Saccharomyces cerevisiae S288C: one gene and its partners. The gene in region 4 interacts genetically with the main gene of each other region. Each region holds a gene or a part of one and is shown on either strand. Other genes may lie near its edges. The genes, in order: EDC2, MTG1, CRP1 and RDL1.

Region 1 (3,013 bases), on a different chromosome or scaffold from region 4:
TCCTGCTGTTTACCCTTGTTCTTGTTCAATATTCTTATGGCAGGTTCCAGGTTAGATGGTGATGTAGTTGAAGTTAGATTTTCATTGCCAATGATAGGGGTTTTGAATTGTTTAGAAGAAGTCGCTTCAGATGTGTTTGATGCTGGGGAAGCAGGATCGTTTAATATTATTACGTGCGATTCGACCTTGGAATCTCCCCACGAATGAGTAATTGTGCCCTTAATAGCAGGCAGAGAGTCTGTGGTTCTATTAAAATCTTTTGCAGGAGAAGTTTTTTTATATGCAGTATATTCACTTTCATTGTCATGACGTGAAAAGGAAGAGGTAGAAGAGGAAGGAAAGAGCGGCGGTGGTAATGGCGGCGGAGGTCCAGTATTTTTTGTGGGTGGATTTTGGAGAACAAATGAATTTGAAGTAGTCTGATTTGTGCTTGTGGTTGGAGTTGAAGCTAAATGCGAGTTTAAGTTTGAGTTTGAAGTTTTCTTGAACAACTTTGAAGTCTTGTTAGCCAAACGATGGAAAGACTCAAATCCAGGTGAGTGTTTCGCGGGTGGTGGAATGCTATCGTAATTCATTTGTGATGGTGTAGATGGTAGAAAGTCTAAGGAGTCATCACTTGACCTTTGAGAACTATTATTAGTATTGCCACTGAAGTTGCTATGTCGCTTGGGGCTTTCATCAAACGACGTGGACTTCTTATGGGCTTTTATGAAAGACCGCATGATGAAATATTCCAGTTATGCGTGTGCGTCTTGTGATGCAGATCCTTTTGGGCAAAAACAGTTGGTTTGTGCGAAAACGCAAGGTAATAAATAGGCTTAAAGGAACTAAAAAAAAAAAAAGGAAAATAACCAGCTAAGATTTAAGGTACAAGAAAGCGGTTGCACCTCAAGTAATGATAGTTATTAAACCTTGGATTGGACCAGATGTTTAAAATTGTTTTCAATAGTAGATTTGCAGTCGTAAATGCGTTCTCAGCAATATCATATTGTGTTTATGAAGTATTACCAAACGGGTAGAAGAACGGTTTAAGAGAATATGTCCGGATAAAGCGATCAGGAGAAAAGCTTAAAACCCAAAGTGGTCAATCTGCAGCCCATTTAGGCACTCTGCATTTAACCGATACCCGGATTGAAGAAAGCTGGCGGGTGTATGGGTGAAGGAGAAGAAAGGAAGTGATTAGGAGAAACCTCATGGAGATGAGCACATGCTACAACTAATAACGTTATTCTACTTAAAACGAGCAAAACAAAAAAAAAAACAAGACAATTGAAAACGCAATGGATGCATTCAGCTTAAAGAAGGATAATCGAAAAAAATTTCAAGATAAACAGAAATTGAAAAGAAAACATGCCACACCCAGTGATAGAAAGTACCGGCTATTGAACCGCCAAAAAGAAGAGAAAGCTACCACAGAGGAGAAAGATCAAGACCAAGAACAGCCCGCCCTGAAGTCAAACGAGGACAGGTACTATGAGGACCCGGTACTCGAGGACCCGCATTCTGCAGTCGCCAATGCAGAGTTGAACAAGGTGCTAAAAGACGTCCTCAAAAATCGGCTCCAGCAGAACGACGACGCCACAGCCGTCAATAATGTTGCTAATAAAGATACTTTGAAAATCAAAGACCTCAAGCAGATGAATACGGATGAGCTCAATCGTTGGCTCGGACGGCAGAATACAACATCGGCTATAACAGCGGCTGAGCCCGAATCATTAGTCGTTCCCATTCACGTACAAGGTGATCATGATCGTGCGGGCAAGAAGATCAGTGCCCCTTCGACCGATCTACCGGAAGAACTAGAGACCGATCAGGATTTCCTTGATGGACTGCTCTAATCGCGCGGTACGACAGTTACTGCGTGAAAAGATTATCAGCGCCCCTTTTTTTCTTCTTTGTTCTTAACGTTTCTTTTTCTTGCGGCTTATGCCCGTACTTATAAAACAACGGCCTCCCGTGCCCTATTACCTTCCTGATAGACCGGACAATAACGTCACTACATACAAAGTTATACACTAACAGAAACTCAAACACAAACGTTTTTATAATAGTCAAAATTAAATATCTCTCATAATGGGTTCCGAGACAAAACATTCTGCAAAAGTCAAGATTGTCACAAGGGAAAGTCCTCCTTCCGCCAAGGAGCACATGCGCCCCACTAAAACTCAAATATTAGTTCCACCGACGCAGAGTTTGCCCAATGGCAAGAAACCAAACTTCGGTAAGTCTACAAAACAGCGGCGAGAACCTAGGGAACGCACCTCGAAGACGGGACACGAGGACGATAAGGCAACGATGGTCACTGTTAACATAGATGCCTTCCTACATGATAAGGCCCCTAAAAAAAAATCGTGCAAATACAAGAAGAAGAAAACGAGACAGTACCAGGATAGGGCGGCGGCGTCGATCGATTCGAAACCGCACGTAGCTGGTCATACGGCCTTTGCCGGTGCTTCGTTCACAACAGATATCCCACATGAGGCAGCGCTACCCAAACCTAGTTTTGTTTGAGTAGCTGTGATTGTAAATTTTTTTATTTCTACTTGAGCGGGCGGGCTCTCATTTTTTTTTTTGGGGTTTTATTTAGGTCGGATTATTCATAAAGATGGCATTTATATACATTTTTACGCAATTACCCTCATATTCTTACACATACGGAGAAGTCATTGTTATATCTTCTTGCCTTCACATTGTTATCGGTGATTTTCTTTCTTTATTGATTGATTAGTTATATAAATTATTGCTATTAAAATACATAAAAGGGGAAGTAAAAACGTGCACGGCGCAGATCAACTTCACAATTACAAAACAACGTTCTTGGCCAATTTGTTCTTATATTGCAAAATGGATCCGTCCCATCTGGTAGCGGTCTTGTTTTCCACAACGAAAATATCTTGGGCAATTTTGTCTAATAATCTGAAATCATGCGAAACGACGACGACACCACCGTTAAATTCGTTGATGGCGTCGGCCAAGGAGTCGATGGTTGGGATATCCAAACCATTGGTAGGTT
Region 2 (3,442 bases), on a different chromosome or scaffold from region 4:
AAAAATAACCACCACACGATGAACAAAGAATTGGAGATACCTAAAACCTCTCCAAACTCATTAAGAAAAATAGCAGACCTCCTAACTGGTAAACTTGGTCTGGATGACTTCCTGGTTTTCGATTTACGGAAGAAAAGCCCAAACTCTGTTTCAGCCGTTAATAAGTTGGGTGACTTCATGGTCATATGTACAGCAAGATCTACCAAACATTGTCATAAAAGTTTCTTAGAGTTGAACAAGTTTTTGAAGCACGAATTCTGTAGTAGTGCATACGTTGAAGGAAACTTTAATGAGCGACAAGAAAGTAGAAGAAAAAGAAGATTAGCAAGAAAATCCAACCTTAGTAAACTATTAGGTAGAAGCTCTGAATGCTCTGCAAAAGACTTAAATAGTGAGGCTTGGTATATGATTGATTGTCGTGTCGATGGTATTTTTGTAAATATTTTGACACAGAGAAGGCGTAATGAATTGAATTTAGAAGAGCTGTATGCACCTGAAAATGAGAAATCTAAGTTCCAAAATATAGATTCAGGTAATGTCCCTACTATTTCAGGGGTAAATGAAATTTCAAGCAACAATAATATTCTTTTAGGCCTAAGAAGACTGGCCCAGCAAAGGAGAAGGTATTCAACTATCAACCCAAACGGGCTAAGTAATTTAAGATACTTTCTACAAAAGGAAGACTTCAAAGGAGCCAATAAGATAATTCAGAGTAGTAGTGGTACTGAAACTCACAATATACGTACTTTGGAGCATGTTAAAAATACTTTAAAGGATTTGGTAGGACAAGAGAGGAAAGTAGATGTTGTTCAATGGAAGTCCTTATTTGACGAACATTCAACTTTTTTAACCATAAATCAATCGGCTGCATATTGGCCACTACGACTAGAATATGCGATACTTCTAAACAAAGCAGACCCACAATTTTATTCAGATCGTGTTTTCCTCAAGGATTATCTACTTTTAAAAAAATCGTTGGGGCAAGAGTTAATAAGGGAAGATCTAATCGCTCTTTTAGAAATGGTTTTGAAAACGCAGCATTCTAGTCATTCATACTTTAACCTAGTAAAGCAAAATAGGGTGATTATCAGAGCTTTGAACCTATTTAAAGGTCTACAAACAGAGGACGATGGCTCAGTTGTTTACGATGAAGTGGTAATATCCCTTCTTTTAAATTCCATGGTCGCGGATGAACGGGTAAAATTGAGATCACTCTACGAGACAATAGACCACATTTTCCAAACATTTGGAGATAAGTTGACTTCAGGCATGATTGTCTCAATATTGCAAAACTTGGCCAAAATCAAAGACTGGAATAAGCTACTTCAAGTCTGGGAAGCTATCACACCAACGGAAGGGGAAGGTCAGGACAAAAGGCCCTGGAATGAATTTATAAATGTTATCAATCAAAGCGGTGATAGTCACGTTATATCGAAAATCGTAAATAATGGTCATTTGCTATGGATCAGACGTTTAAATGTTAACGTAACTCCGGAGTTATGCAACTCCATTAAAGCGTTATTAAAAACCGCTGGAATGGAGAATTCCACATTGGAAGAATTCCTAGTCCGTGGAACAAACAATCAATAGTATTACCTGTATATAATATCTTAATCTCTCGTCGTTCGCCTTATTTATATTTGAATCAAATATTTAATTCTGCCACATGGTAGGTTCATTTTGCCGCAGATCAAAGAACACGGACCATCATGTCAAAAGTACACAATTTTTGTCTTTTCGAAACAATTTGGTTTAGTTATTAGGAGAAGAAAGAACGAATGATAATGCTCATTACTCAGACCTGAATGCAAAAAAGCCAAATCAAATACAGAAATGCACATAAATGTGAGAGGAACTAGGAAAATAATTTCCAACGTTTCATCCTTCACACCAAGATATGAATTTCCAAAGTACAGTATGCCTCTCACTGATTTCAAGGGACACCAAGTCAAAGCTCTTAAAACATTTGAAAAGTTGCTTCCTCAAATGAATATGATAATAGAACTACGTGATATACGTGCCCCGTTATCTACAAGGAATGTGGTTTTCGATCGAATAGCAAGAAAGGAACACGATGTGATGAAATTAGTGGTATACACTAGAAAGGATCTTATGCCCGGCAATAAGCCATATATAGGAAAGTTAAAGAATTGGCATGAAGAGCTGGGAGAAAAGTTTATTTTACTGGATTGCCGAAACAAAACTGACGTCAGGAATCTACTAAAAATACTAGAATGGCAAAATTACGAACTAGAAACAAATGGCGGATATCTACCTATGGGATACCGAGCATTGATTACTGGCATGCCAAATGTTGGAAAATCTACTTTAATAAATAGCTTGAGGACAATTTTTCACAATCAAGTGAATATGGGAAGAAAATTTAAGAAAGTAGCCAAAACTGGTGCAGAAGCTGGTGTTACTAGAGCCACAAGCGAGGTTATTAGAGTAACTTCACGGAATACGGAATCAAGAAATGAAATATACTTGATAGATACTCCAGGAATCGGTGTTCCCGGTCGCGTTTCAGATCATAATAGAATGCTAGGACTGGCGTTGTGTGGTAGTGTTAAAAATAACCTTGTAGATCCAATATTTCAAGCGGATTACCTTTTATACCTAATGAACTTGCAAAATTTGAACGATGGAAGAACAGAGCTTTACCCTGGAAGCACCAATTCTCCCACAAATGATATATATGATGTTTTAAGAAGGCTTCAAGTGAATAAAAGCCAAAATGAAAAATCAACGGCTATCGAGTGGACTAACAAATGGAGGTTGCATGGAAAGGGTATCATATTTGACCCTGAGGTACTGTTGAATAATGACGAGTTTTCTTATAAAAACTATGTAAATGATCAATTGGAAAAGTTAGGAGATCTTTCGTATGAGGGATTGTCTAACAAACTAAAAGGGAACCCCAATCAAGTATTCTAGTAAATAATATCCAGCATACATAAGCTTATCTAATAATTAGATCATTTTACAATGTGTACCGAGTAATACAAAGTTGAGGGGGGAAAAAGTGTTATAATGCTCAAAATACCTGTTCAAAGAAATCACCACCCAATTTCGGAAAGTCTTACTCCATTGGAAGCATGACTAATAGATTCGATTGATACACCACCCATTAACTCTCCTAAGTCACTAGATACTTCCAACAATTTGCTGGGATTGTCAAAGTGAGTGGTAGCCTCTACTACTGCAGTGGCCAACCTTACAGGATTAGATGATTTAAAAATTCCTGAGCCAACAAACACACCATCACAACCCAACTGCATTAACAATGCGGCATCGGCTGGCGTTGCTACACCACCTGCAGCAAAATTTACTACTGGCAACTTACCTTTTTCTAAAACATCTTTCAGCAAAGAAACTGGTACCCTCATTTCCTCAGCAACTTTTGCAATGTCATCTTCGCTCTTCAATTGTTGGCACGCCT
Region 3 (3,784 bases), on a different chromosome or scaffold from region 4:
GATCAATGGCTTGTATTATTTGTTCTAATGATAAGCTTTCTGCTTGAGTCGTTTTCCTGTATAATGCTACCCTTGTAGTGACAGGAGCGTCGATAGAAAGATGAACAAAAAATGGTCTCTTTTCCAGTTTCTCCAGTAATGATAATTTTTCTAGGAATATAACTGAATTTTTTGTGTAATTTTTCGTAGCATAATCTAATATCTCCTCTGGATTATCTAGGTGATTGAGTAATTCAAAATGAAAATGATCAACCAACATGTTAATAACATCTTCGCATCCGCAAAATTTCGTACCACTTACACCAATTAACATAATCGTGTTATATTGATTAGTGTAGCATTCACACCTTTAATGTGCCAAAAAAAGATGTTGAATTCTATGGTAATGCAGAAGTTTCAATTCTCGAGATTGCCTACATCATCTCATAACTGCGTACCGCGCGTTCTTGCAAAGAACAAAAAAGTGAAAAAATTATAATGGGGCGAGCTGGGAATTGAACCCAGGGCCTCTCGCATGCTTTGTCTTCCTGTTTAGGCAGGAAGTCGCCCAAAGCGAGAATCATACCACTAGACCACACGCCCATGTATCTGTTGGTGTTCTAAATAAAGAATTAAACTATGTAGGCATAAAAAGAGACGGGAGCATCTTAAAGATGCAACTGGATGGAGAATGGCAAAATATGAAGAAGAAGGAAGGAAAAGAAATATTATTATGCGTAACTGTTGATTCCTTTTTGTGGATTTCTTGAGGAGAATGTCTTTTTGAAGAGTGGGTGAATTTTGAGATAATTGTTGGGATTCCATTTTTAATAAGGCAATAATATTAGGTATGTAGAATGTACTAGAAGTTCTCCTCGAGGATTTAGGAATCCATAAAAGGGAATCTGCAATTCTACACAATTCTATAAATATTATTATCATCATTTTATATGTTAATATTCATTGATCCTATTACATTATCAATCCTTGCGTTTCAGCTTCCACTAATTTAGATGACTATTTCTCATCATTTGCGTCATCTTCTAACACCGTATATGATAATATACTAGTAACGTAAATACTAGTTAGTAGATGATAGTTGATTTTTATTCCAACACTTTTATATATTCTGTATTTGATGTTATAGCTTTATCAATTACAGAATGCCAAAAATTATCAAATTATTCACCAATATCCCAAATTTTAATGCAACCGTTATGATCCGACTATTGATAAAGGAAATTCCTATTCTACATAATGTTACTGGTATTTCTTCTTCCGTTTTTTATGTCGTCATTCGTCATCCTATTGCATTATCAATCTTTGCGTTTCAGCTTCCATTAAATTATGAAGATTATTTTTCAATCTTAAAGTCATCTTCTTACACTGGATATAATAATATACTAGCAGTATGAATATTAGTCGATAGACGATAGTTGGTTCTATTTCGACGGGTAATATTCTACTAATACCAATGACACTATTAATTTACCTAACAGAAATTCTTCTTCAATTGACCCTAGCGTTTGCCTTATTATCAAGACACTGAAGGTAAAGTTGCCGATAAACTTTTTGGGTTCCACTGTGCACCTATTTCTATGCTTCAATAAGCAGTTCCAGGTAAGGTTTCACCATTTCAACCCAAGTAAATGCTATGTAGTTATAATATTAATTAATGTGTTCTACTGGTTTTTCTGTGCATAAAAAAGACGCTCTGACGCCATTTATCTTGGTGTGTTACCCGTTAGGAAAAGTGGCGTTGCTAAAATTGTTGAAACCCGATCTCATCGCCTGGTAAACAATACAAACAAGGATTTGAACAAGGTTTTATCATTTTCTGATACGTTTTTTGTACTTACAAAATAAAAGATACAAAAATCACTAAGAAAACTAATCTATCAATAAAAATGAGTAGTGAACTCATGTTCAACTATACTTTTAGCTGGCCTGCTGGTCCAAAAGATGTTATTTTAACAGGAACGTTTGATGACTGGAGGGGCACTTTACCCCTCGTGAAGACCGCCAAGGGAAATTTCGAAATTACTATGCCCGTGAAGCTAGCCAACAAGGATGATACGTTTCAGTTTAAGTTTATTGTGGATGGCGTTTGGTGCGTTAGTGATTCGTATAAAAAGGAGCATGTTAGTGAAGGAATCGAAAACAATTTCTTACAAATTACCGATTTAGTTGAAACGCAGGAAGTTGCCGGTGCCAGTAGAATCCCGGAGGCAGGTGGCCTATTATGTGGTAAACCGCCTCGTTCAGCAGGTCCTCCTTCTACAAGTAATAGAAAGAAAAACAAGCGTAACAATAAGAAAAGAAGATCTAAATTGAAGAAAAAGAGTACTAAGAACAACAAGAAGTCAAATGAAAGTTTAGACGATAATGAAGAAGAAGACGGGGTGACTGGAACTACTACTGAAGATGTTACTGGAACCTCTAGGGAAGAAACTCCATTGGCGGAGCCTACTAATGTTTCCAAAGAAGCTCCGGGCAATTTCCATATTCTGCCAATCGATCAAAGTGCAGACACAACTCAATCAAATGGTATAATTGGTGGACCAGGTCCTGTTCTTGTCCCAAACCCTGGTGAAATCAAGGAATTTACCGAAATTAGAGACGTTGATGCTAGGGAATTGAATGAAAGACTTAACAAAAAAGAAGAGGTTCCAGAACCCGTTGCTGGCCCTATTGTTGAATCATCAGTTACGGAAAAGAGTCCTGCTCTTCCACAAGCTGACGACCCGATTGTTGAGACCAAGGAAGTGGCTCATAATGTGCAGGAACTTACTCCTCAAGTGGAAGCGGTTACTCCGTTAATAAATGAGCCCGAACCATTACCAACTCCGGAAGCACAAATATCTATACCTGAGTCATCGAAAGTTGAACCAGTGGAGGGGTCTCTTCAATCTAAGTTGGTGGAGAAACGTGAGTCCACTGAAGGTGTATTAGACGGTTCCAAAAAAGTAGAAAATAAGGCAAAAAAAGATGAAGAGGTCTTTACATTAGACCCCATCGTTAACAAAGCTCCCAAGCTACCCTTGACTGACGAGCAAACAGCTGAAGGTAGAAAATCACCAGCAGTGTCAGAAGAAAAAGAAAAGAAAAAGAAGCAAGAAAAAGGCTCTAAAGAGGTCAAGAGGTCAGAAACCAGTAAAGAAAAAAAGCCTTCTGCCAAAGAGGTTAAGAAACAAACTGTAAAAGCCCCAAAGAAACAGACAGCTTCTCCTTTGTCTTCTTCGACAGAAGAGCCCAAGAAGAAGAAAACTGGTTTCTTCGGCAAATTGAAGAAGCTATTTAAGTGAATTATCTAAGGATTGGTCTCATGTTGCCGAATCATAGAAATATAAGAAAAAAATTAAAAAAAAAAAGAAAGAAAGTATAATACTAATATTGGCAATAATGCTAACACATTACTAATAATAGCAATAATATTAATAATAATAATAATAATAATAAATTATAATAATAGCAGTAATAAAAATATCAAATAATAATAATAGTAATAGTAGTAGTAGTAGTAGCAGTTGTAGTAATGATAATAATAATATAATAATAATATAATAATAGTATAATAATAGTATAAGTAGTTGTAGGTAAAAATCTTTGATTTATCTTATCTGGTTGCAATGCTTCTCCCCTCTGATGCCTAATATGTCTATCTTTATCCTATACCAATTGGCAGGGGAGCAATCATAATTTACATTAATATCGTCCACCATACCCTGAAATTCCAAAAGAGTTCGAGAAATTGGAAGGTACAGCATTTCATTTACTCACTTATTTGATCTTTTCTTTTGTTTTC
Region 4 (2,955 bases):
CAGTTTTGGCTCTTACTCCTTTCGCACAAAGAAAAATCAATTCTTTATCGTGAGGTGGTTTAGCAAATTGGAAAACTTTGTGAAACTCCTTTTCGGGCAATCCAAGAGCGCCAGGGGCACTATTCACCGGAATATTTATTGTAGTTGGCATCTTGTAATCCTTTACTTCCTTGGGTTCCCTTACATCTACCAATAGTTTTTTATCATTGGGGTGTTCGACTAGGTTCCTGACCTGGTCAAAAGTATAGATCTTTGGAGCCTTCGTTGTAAATGTTCTCAGGACCAATGTAGGCGATCTTGCAGAAACTGTCCTCGAGAGAATACCTGTACTATGCTTGAACATCGTTGGTCTTTTTCTTCTGTCTCGCTTCCATTTGTTGAGAGTTATCGCTATCTTATTCCATTCAGATTAAGTTTTGTATTTTTTTTTTTATACTTCCTAATTTCTTTGCGCCGCCGCTATCACAGCCAATGCAATAGGCAAATATTATGAACGGTGTGACATAAATGGCATAATACGTTACTAGCTTACGAAAATACACAGGGTACATACCTAGAGTATACAAGGCTATAAGTCAAGTTTATCACCCCCATGAGAAACCCAATCATTCATAGAGCCAGGATATAGTGAGGTGTTTGAATATCCATGTGAGGAGGCGACTTTTTGAGCTTCTCCCCCGCGTTTGCCAGAAGCACAATAAAATATTAGCTCCTTGGCACTGTCAGGTTTTGGGATGCCAATCTGTTTCTCAAATTCTAAAGGATCTAAGGCAAATGCGTCAGGGTGCGATCTATATGGCACATTGATGGAAGCAGGAATATGAACAATCGAGTACTCAGATGGTTCTCTAACATCTACCAAAACCACATTAGGATCATGCTTTCCAACGATTCTTTTCATGTCTTCAAAACTGTAAGATTGAATATTTGAAACATTCTTACTTTGACTCTCGGTTCCATTCCAAGCATTCATCACGGCCTTCCACATTTTAATATCGTTTCTTAGTCACAAACCCTGAAAATAAACGAGAAAGAATTCTTTGATTGATTAAGCCTCCACTCTCTTTTATACACCTCAAAAATTCTCCCCTTACTTCCTTCCCCGCGGGTAATAATATTCTCCAAAAAAAATACAAAAGCAATCAGATGTAACTTATATAGGTTCCAAGATAAATAACAAATTATTTGTCATTGCAAGTAGGAAAAGGACATACCGTAGGTGATATCTGGATTTGGGCCTTATGGAAGCCAATCTTAGTAGTAATTCGTCCATATGTCTACCAAAGGGGATAACAAAAAAGTACAACTACAAATTTTTCACACAGTGTCCCGTTAATTTCATATACTCAATATGCTGCGTTTAATCAAGAAAAATTCTGATATTTTGCGACAGAAGGTGTCCCTGGAAAGCGCTTAGTATGCTGTATGATCTTTGAAGTACAATGCACAGGGAAATAAATCACCATATCTGACGATCATCTTGCTAGTTTCTAAGTTCGGAACATCTTGTCTATGCGCCAATAAAACTAGTTTTACATCGTACAGAAACACTGTCCACTTAGAACTGGACACTTGTTTGCCCAGTATAGTTCTGATACTATTATTATGTATAATTCCCTCAATATTAAGCACTTTATGCAAACGTGTTGGCCCATTGAGGCATTGATATACGGCAAGTAATAGCACCTTTTGCTTCTTACCTTTATCAATTTGGAAATAATGTTCGAATTCTATTTTATTTTGCAGAATCCTTAGTATATTTTCTTCGTCGAACTTTTGTACACTATTTAGCTGAAACTTCATAAGCTTTCCGCTCAAATTAACCTTTGCATTTGTTGATGTCTGGCTATTCATTGGGGATGGGACCGGCTGGTGAGTGGACCTCTTACATTGTAATGATTTGTTCCTTTTCTGTAAAAGTTGTAGAAACGCGTCGTAGTACTTCTGCAAGTCGGCAAGAATGGGTTCAATCTGCTGAACGTCCAAACTAAAATCCTCCAAAAGATGTCGCATTTGATTTTCAATCATTGACAATCTCTTTTTATAGCCCAATGTAATACGATCGGCTTCGACAATTTCATCTTCTGAGTACTCAACTACCGAATCGTGGTCCAAATACATCTTGCCAAATTTTGTTTGTTGCATAGTTTCACTGATATACAATTCACCTGAATTTACCACCGACAGAACATATCCATTTCTCTGCTATGGAGTATCAATGTAGTCTTGTTACATATTACGACACAGTTTTCTTTCCTTTAAAATAAACGCGTCGTTCTCATCTCATGTGAAAAACTATATCAATAATATAAAAACATAAAACCCCTATAATTTATGAACATCTACTGCATTTAGATAAACCCTTACGAACTATATGTTTTAAAATAAAATACACGCATGCGAAATTTCTATTACTACCTAAACCGCATTTCTAATACAAAATGAGAAAAACCCAACAGTGAATAACCATATAGTGTCTAACGTAATCTTAAGTCACTGACGACAAATTCGCCATCACCAAGATGTTGGGTGTTTCCGACACGTCTCACAATAAACTGCTTGGAGTCCTTGACGTAATCAACTATAGTGACAGAGGTGTTGAAAACAATGATCTTATGAGCTTGATGATTTTCATACTTTAACCATTGTAAAATCATTCTGATAGCACCTCCATGACTAACTAGGGCTAGATTCTTGACACCTTCATTAGATGCTTCAGCAACTTCTTCTTCGACACATCCAGTTAACCTAGCAACAAAATCGTCACTTTTTTCCCCAAAATTTCTAAAGGAGCCTTCACCATGTTTATCAGCATACTTTTCAGCCTCAGTAATCTGCATACCTTCAATAACACCCATATAACGCTCCCTTAACCCCGAAGTATAGGAAGTAGGCACATTTTCTTGTTTTGAATGTTTCAAAACTAAAGCCGTAGTTTGCCTACACCTTTTTAAA

The links.
Region 1: mutations in RDL1 (region 4) and EDC2 together harm fitness more than expected from each alone (negative genetic interaction), as found in Saccharomyces cerevisiae (2 studies listed by BioGRID).
Region 2: mutations in RDL1 (region 4) and MTG1 together harm fitness more than expected from each alone (negative genetic interaction), as found in Saccharomyces cerevisiae (one large-scale study listed by BioGRID).
Region 3: mutations in RDL1 (region 4) and CRP1 together harm fitness more than expected from each alone (negative genetic interaction), as found in Saccharomyces cerevisiae (one large-scale study listed by BioGRID).

What each region holds. Positions count from the first base shown.
Region 1 is NC_001137.3:220,566-223,578, forward strand, and holds EDC2 (Edc2p), read left to right. Parts: upstream 1-2,073; coding exon 2,074-2,511; downstream 2,512-3,013. Other genes in the region: ZRG8 (Zrg8p), read right to left, coding at 1-722; YER034W (uncharacterized protein), read left to right, coding at 1,281-1,838; ATP-binding cassette family ATPase ARB1, read right to left, coding at 2,802-3,013. UniProt on the Saccharomyces cerevisiae protein: mRNA-binding protein which stimulates mRNA decapping by DCP1 and DCP2.
Region 2 is NC_001145.3:458,919-462,360, reverse strand, and holds MTG1 (putative GTPase MTG1), read left to right. Parts: upstream 1-1,833; coding exon 1,834-2,937; downstream 2,938-3,442. Other genes in the region: ATP25 (Atp25p), read left to right, coding at 1-1,590; pyridoxine biosynthesis protein SNZ1, read right to left, coding at 3,060-3,442. UniProt on the Saccharomyces cerevisiae protein: Mitochondrial GTPase involved in assembly of the large ribosomal subunit. Plays a role in expression of the mitochondrial translational machinery.
Region 3 is NC_001140.6:388,414-392,197, forward strand, and holds CRP1 (Crp1p), read left to right. Parts: upstream 1-1,886; coding exon 1,887-3,284; downstream 3,285-3,784. Other genes in the region: DCD1 (deoxycytidine monophosphate deaminase), read right to left, coding at 1-313.
Region 4 is NC_001147.6:847,668-850,622, reverse strand, and holds RDL1 (thiosulfate sulfurtransferase RDL1), read right to left. Parts: upstream 989-2,955; coding exon 569-988; downstream 1-568. Other genes in the region: thiosulfate sulfurtransferase RDL2, read right to left, coding at 1-343; HUA2 (Hua2p), read right to left, coding at 1,414-2,145; YOR283W (phosphoglycerate mutase), read right to left, coding at 2,478-2,955. UniProt on the Saccharomyces cerevisiae protein: Thiosulfate:glutathione sulfurtransferase (TST) required to produce S-sulfanylglutathione (GSS(-)), a central intermediate in hydrogen sulfide metabolism.